Sus scrofa: one gene and its partner. The protein of the gene in region 1 interacts with the protein of each later gene in a pairwise test. Links are inferred from orthologs where the notes say so. Each region holds a gene or a part of one and is shown on either strand. Other genes may lie near its edges. The genes, in order: PTPN6 and leukocyte-associated immunoglobulin-like receptor 1.

Evidence for each region.
Region 2: the proteins of PTPN6 (region 1) and leukocyte-associated immunoglobulin-like receptor 1 interact in binary tests that used the Homo sapiens proteins (3 or more experiments, as listed by UniProt). The link is inferred for Sus scrofa from reciprocal best matches to the Homo sapiens genes PTPN6 and LAIR1.

Annotation. Positions count from the first base shown.
Region 1 is NC_010447.5:63,761,852-63,765,666, forward strand, and holds the end of PTPN6 (tyrosine-protein phosphatase non-receptor type 6), read right to left. Parts: intron 2,394-3,815; coding exon 2,326-2,393; intron 2,229-2,325; coding exon 2,077-2,228; intron 1,967-2,076; coding exon 1,875-1,966; intron 768-1,874; coding exon 653-767; 3' UTR 627-652; intron 436-626; 3' UTR 258-435; downstream 1-257. UniProt on the Homo sapiens protein: Tyrosine phosphatase enzyme that plays important roles in controlling immune signaling pathways and fundamental physiological processes such as hematopoiesis.
Region 2 is NC_010448.4:58,944,049-58,947,134, reverse strand, and holds part of leukocyte-associated immunoglobulin-like receptor 1, read right to left. Parts: coding exon 2,825-3,086; intron 2,641-2,824; coding exon 2,590-2,640; intron 591-2,589; exon of another isoform or gene 53-590; intron 47-52; coding exon 8-46; intron 1-7. UniProt on the Homo sapiens protein: Functions as an inhibitory receptor that plays a constitutive negative regulatory role on cytolytic function of natural killer (NK) cells, B-cells and T-cells.

The DNA of each region.
Region 1 (3,815 bases):
GAACCTCCATATGCCGCGGGAGTGGCCCTAGAAAAGGCAAAAAAAGACAAAAAAAAAAAAAAAAGTGTAAGAAATTATTACTGCCAGTCGTATCACCATCCGTGATCTTCACAACCATCCTCCAGGTTGAAGGGAAGAGACAGCTGGCCCCGCTCACACTCCTTGTACGTCTGACTGTGAAGGCTGCCCTCACTGAGCGGTCCCTGCCTCCCTCCCCCTCCCGCCCAGGCACCCAGAGTTAGAGACCCACACACACAGTGATCCTAACAGCTTTTATTTACAGGAGTAGAAGGGCCTGGCCCAGCCTGGGGCCATGCTGGGCTATATACAGGGTCTGGGAGAGGGAGGTAGGGATGGGGCCATTTAAATTACAATGGAATGGGGGGCAGGCTCCAAGGTGCAGGCTGCAGGTGGTCCACTGGGATGGGGCTGAGGCTGCAGAGAGAGGGGAGGAAGGGATCAGGGGGTGGCTATTCCTGGACGGGTCCCGGGGCGGGGCGGGGTGGGGAGGGGGAGATACAGGTCTGAGATGGTTGGGAAGGCAGGGTGAGGACGCAGCCACCGCATCTGTCCAGGGCAGAGCATGGAGCTGGGGGCCCCTGCGGGCAGGTGGGGAGGAGCCGTACCGTGGCCGCCCCTGGACATGCCCGGCTCACTTCCTCTTCAGGGAGCCCTTGCTCTTCTCCTTGTCTGCTGACCGCTGCTTCTTCACCTTCTCCTCCTTCTTGTTCTTACTGTGCACGTTCTCATACACGTCCTCCTTGTGCCTGCGAGAGGGGCGGGGCGGGCAAGTGCGGACAGTCAGGGAGGGGACAGGGCAGCCTCATCCAGCACCAGCAGCCCCTTAGGACCGCCCACCTCACAGGTGAGCAAACTGAGGCCAGAAAAGCGAGGACACCACTCCTTACACCGTCCTTACACTCCACCAGAAACTCCCGGGAGCAGAGGCTCCATCTCATATCAGTGTACCTGGCACAGGCCCCACGTGGAGGGCACCCAGGAAACACAGGTTAAACCAAGCTCAAGAACGAAGGTCAAGAACCAAGCTTGGGAGTTCCCGTCGTGGCTCAGTGGTTAACGAATCCGACTAGGAACCATGAGGTTGCGGGTTCGATCCCTGGCCTCACTCAGTGGGTTAAGGATCCGGCATTGCCGTGAGCTGTGGTGTAGGTTGCAGATGCGGCTCGGATCCCACATTGCTGTGGCTGTGGTGTAGGTCGGTGGCTACAGCTCCGATTAGACCCCTAGCCTGGGAACCTCCATATGCCACGGGAGCGGCCTCAGAAAAGGCAAAAGGACAAAAAAAAAAAAAAAAAAAAAAAAAAAGACTAAATAAATAAATAAATAAAATAAGCTTGAGGAGTTCCCGTCATGGCGCAGCAGAACCATGAGCTTGCGGGTTCGATCCCTAGCCTTGCTCAGTGGATTAAGGATCCTGCATTGCGGTGAGCTGTGGTGTAGGTCGCAGACTCGGGACTGTCGTGGCTGTGGCTGTTGCTCTGATTAGCCCCCTAGTCTGAGTGCGGCCTTAAAAAGCAAAAAAAAAAGAAAGAAAGAAAGAAAAAAGCAAAAAAAAAGAACCGAGCTTGAACCACTCTCTACACCCATGTAACCACCTTTTTCATCGTTCCGGGAAGATTACTCATGCTGCTTTCCAGTCCATATCACCAGCCCCTGCCAGCCAACCACTGCCCTGATTTCTGTCATCAAAGATGTTTTGCCTGTTCTTATATGTCATATAAATGGAACCAAACAATTAAAAAAAAAAACACCTTGACCTTGAACCGGAACCTCTCAGGAAAGGAAGGATCAGGGGTCAGGCTGGGGAAGAGAAAGAGGCCCATGTGGGGAGGCCGTGGGCAGGAGCCACTCACTTGGAGGAGGTGCGGGAGGCCTTGGCATGAGCGTTCTTCATGGCGAGGGGGTAGGTGATGTTCCCATATTCCGACTCCCGGCCCTTCTGCGACTGTGGGAAGATGGGTGGTAGAAGCGCGGTGGTCCCAGGAGCACCAGAGAAAGCCCACTGCCAGCCCCCCCAACCCCCAACGGCCCGGCCAAGCCTTGTGCTGCCCGCACCTGTATGACCTCCAGCTTCTTCTTGGTGGTTTCAATGAACTGGGCGATGGCCACGTAGATGAACTTGTACTGCGCCTCTGTCTGCACCATGCCCGAGCGCTGGGCCCGCACCATCTGGATGGTCTTCTGGATGTCGATGTCACAGTCCAGGCCTGGCAGGGATGGTGGCTGGAGGTCAGGCCCAGGCCCAGGTGGACCTGGGGGCCCATTCGCCCACCTGCCCCCTCGTCCCCCACCGGTCACTCTCACCCTTGGTGGAAATGCTCTCCATAAGCATGTCGATGACAATGATGGTACCAGTGCGACCGATGCCAGCGCTGGGGAGAGAAGGGGCACCGTTAGAGGCCGGCACTGGCTGGGAAGGGGGAGCCCCGTGTTCAGCGCCAGCATGGGTGGGGCTTAGGGGACCGAGGCTGCAGGGGATGGCTGTGGATGCAAGGTGCCGGAAATGAGAGGGTCTCCAGGTGGGCAGACAAGCAGGGCAGAAGTTGGCTCAACTCTGCACCTGGGGTCTTCTCCAGCCAAGGGATGTGGGGGCAGGGCCAGGCTCTCAAGTCCTAAGATCCTTCTCCCCAGATGCCCATCACTTTCCTTCTTCCCAACACCTCACTCTGCTCCCCGCCCCAGGAGATCTAGGGCCTGGCCCACCTCTGCCCTACCTGCTCCCACAGCCTTGGCGCCCAGGTGAGGCGGCCCTTCTCTTTCTGCGAGGCTCTGCTTCCCTTTTATCTTTTTCTTCTTCTTCTTTTTTTTTTTAGGTCCACACCCGCAGCATATAGAAGTTTGCAGGCTGGGGGTCAAATCGGAGCTACAGCTGCCAGCCTAGACCACAGCCGCAGCAACTCGGGATCTGAGCCACATCTGAGATCTACACCACAGCTCACGACAACCCTGGATCCTTAACCCACTGAGCGCAGCCAGGGATCAAACCCACAACCTCATGGATACTAGTCAGGGTCGTAACCCACTGAGCCACGACGGGAACGCTTCTATTTCCCTTTTTCTTCAGACATTGAAGGCAGTGCAAGGGCAGCCCTGAGACAGCAAGGCACGGGGCCATGCAGCAGGAAGTCTCCCTCTGCCCACCCTCTGCCGCGACCCCTGGGCAAACACACCCCAGGAGGCTCAGGACCCCACCTAGATCACAGGCCCACCCGCTCGGCTAGGCCAGTGGGGCCAATGCCCTGAGTCTAGCTGTCTAATTTCAAACACAGATTGTCAAAAATAACTCCCCCTCACCCACTTCCTTCCTGTAAGATCTAAATAAAGACCATGGGGATTTCAAGTGGGGGGGGCACAGGCAGTGGGGACGTTCTTGGCGAGGGGCCTGACCCTGGAAGCAGAGCGGGGTCCCTGAGACCGCAGGTGAGGGGCACCTCCAGGCTTGGCCCGCCCTGCCCCGCCCCAGCCCAGCCCAGCCCGGCCCGGGATGCAGGGAGGAAGGGTGGCTGGTGGGAGGAAGGAGGAAGTCTCTGCCCTCACAGCCTGGGGTCACAAGGAGGGAGCTGGAAGGGAAGAGATGGAAGCAGATTCCCCTTTCCCGTTCCCTGCCTCATGTGAGTTATTAAAGCGTGAACAGCTCCCATTGTCCAGGGTTCACTGTATTCCAAACACAGCAAGAGGGCTCATTTCATCTTCACGACAACCCTGTCGGAATCCTGATTTTACCGATGAGGAACCACACGGTCAGAGAAGTGCCGTCATGTGTCCAATATCACACAGCCAGCGGGTGGAAGGGC
Region 2 (3,086 bases), on another chromosome or scaffold:
CACTCACCGGGATTGTTTCCATCCTGTGAATGCGTCCATGTGTCTCCTAGGAATGAGGCATCAGGAGGACATGGGTCAGAGGCCTGAGCTGGACAGAGCAGGCTCCTGAGTCCCCCCCTCTCCACGGGGTCTCCCTGGTCCCCAGACCCGGACCTGCTCCCTCTAGAACAGCCCCGTGGAACAGTCCGTGTGGTTGACATACTCTACTTCTGGGCTGTCCGCTCTGGTAACCACACGTGACTGCTGCCCTTGAAATTTAAGTGAAAGAAACTGAAACGTCAGATCGCCAGGGGCAGGAGCAGCGGGTCGCGGGGCGGCTCGGTGGTGCCACCAGGCTAATGCCACCCTCACTGGGTGATGGGCACCTGCAGCGTCCCCTTCCCGCGGGAGGTGGTGGGGGCAGCGCCGCTCTCCCCCGTCTTCCCCCCTCGCAGAGACGGACACCCGGTAGGAGGGCCCAGGCACAGGCATCCTCAGCTCTGCCTTCCGTTTTCACAGCTCCCCTTGATGCGGTGGATCTGCTCTCCTGGGAGTGAAGACGCCAAGACCCGATGTCCCGGAGCTGCCCGCCGAAGCCACGAGGTGAGCAGGTGAGACAGTTGCCCGCCAGCCCGGGGCTGGACTCCGCGCATGTGCTGTAGGTCCTGCTCCTCTACCATACACCTCCTAAGGGCGCAGCACCACCCATTTCACAGGTGAGCCAGCAGAGGTCTTGGGGGCTCGTCCACCCACTCGGTCTGAGCCCCGCCTCCCCTCCCTCCTGCTGCTTCAGAGGCTGAGTCCTCAATATCCTATTTAAGGCAGAAAACTTCATTTCTTAGAGAATCCTGCCCTCAACACTGTGTCGCTGGCCCACCATCCACGGGCCCACCCAGTGTTTTAACACCTCTGCCCTGCTTCACTGCCTTGTGACGTTTATCACAGTTTAAAATAGTATTTATGTTTTACAAATAAAAATAATATATATCAATATATTTACATCTATATATATTACATATCATATAACTATAATGTATACTGGATATACAGTTAAATTGTTTTAACCCACATATGCATAATTTAATTTACACAGATTAGTTATACACAATTTAAAAATATAAAGTGTAAGCTCTACATATCAATTATATCAACTATACATATAAATTATGGTAAATATACTATCACATATATTACAGTAATGCATACTACATGATAATATAATGTACAGACATAACACTGTATGCGTTATTCATATGTATTAATATATTACTTCGATATTTGCTATATAGTGTAAGTATATTCTATTTAAATTATAAGTCTGAAATTTTACGTTGAAAATGTTATGTTTATTTTTTAGTTATTTATTTATTTTTTTTTTTTTTCTTTTTGCTATTTCTTTGGGCCGCTTCTGCGGCATATGGAGGTTCCCAGGCTAGGGGTCTAATCGGAGCTGTAGCCGCTGGCCTATGCCAGAGCCACAGCAACGCAGGATCCGAGCCGCGTCTGCAACCTACACCACAGCTCACGGCAACGCCAGATTGTTAACCCACTGAGCAAGGGCAGGGACCGAACCCACAACCTCATGGTTCCTAGTCGGATTCGTTAACCACTGCGCCACAACGGGAACTCCCGAAAAATGTTATGTTTATATTCTATATGCCCATATATCCTTAGTGCATTTCTATTGTTCATTTTAATTAATTCTTCCATTAATGCTTGGGAGGCCAGAGACCCCTTCTCCTCATTCACGTGTGCATCAACCCCATAGCAGGAGGGTGTCTGGTGCACAGGAGGTGAGAAGAAAATAGTCCTAAGATCAGTACTACTGGGCTGCCCCGACGTAAGCACAGGTCCTGTGTCTCAACTGCGGGGTTCGTGTATTTATTGCGGGTTTTGCCCGCGAGAAGCCGGGATGCGGAAGGCGTGGTCATTCACTCAAGGGCCCAGAGCTGGGAAGGCAGGACCGGAATCCTAACCCTGATGCTGGCAGTTCTGCTCTGAACTGGAGTCTTGGAGGCATGAAACGGGGAGGGAGGTGGAGGGGTGACTGAGCTGCCCGCCCCCACCACCACTAGCAGCGGGTTCAGGACGCTCTGAGAGGGGGGCTCTCCCTCCTTCTAGGCTGTTCAGGCAGAACCTTCAAGAAGCCTCTTCTCTCTCCTAGGAGATGCGCTATCAGTCCCTCCTTCCTTCTCTCAGTGCAGAGGGGCCAGCGGTGGAACCTGCCCACTAGGGGGCAGCGCAAAGCTGTGCCCAAACCCCAAGGATGGGGTCTGGATGCCCTGGGTTGGGTCTGCCCCTTGTGCCTTTGCCCAAGACACTTAACCTCCTTTCTGCCTCTTAAAAGGAGTGGTGGCTCTTAGAAAGCCTGGGACGTCCCTCCATGGTGGGCTCGGTGGCATTACTGCCACCAGGTGCCCGGTTATAGGGTTATCTCTATCCTGTGGGTGTTAAGAGTGTCCTTGTGAATATCAGGGACCCAGCAGTGCCCTGGGCAAGCCATGCCCTTCCCAGGGCCTCACCAGTCCCTGATCCAAGCCCAGGGCAATGGTCCTGATCCCCAGCACAGAGCCTCCCAGAAACCCCAACAGGCTGAGGTCAGCTACTCACCAGCTGAGGAGGAGGGCTCCGTGTGGGGGGAGCTGAAATCCCCAGGGGGTCCTGTGATCAGGGGCGGGAGAAGGCTTTAGACAGGCGTGAAGGTGAAGGAGTGTGTGTGTGAGGGAGACCACGGGGCTTGGGGGGCCATGGGGCTTGGGGGGCCAGCAGGGGGCCTGTGGGCAGAGGACACAGCTGGGGACAGCGGCCTGGGGCCACCCTGAGGGCAGAGCAGAGACGTCCTCACCTGTCAACACCAGCTTCAAGGTCTCACTGGACTCAGACCAAATGCCACTTTGATGATAGAGGCACTGATAATGCCGGACAGTGTCTTCACTTACAGCAGCGATGGGGAACCTGGCCGCTGTCTGGTGTGGACCAATTTGAATCGTGTTACTCTCATCCTTGTACTTATGCATATTCTCCTTGTACTGCAGGCGGAATGTCTCAGCCCCAGCAGGGCCCTGGCACACGATGGTCACAGGCTGTCCCCAGGGGACCACAGGGCC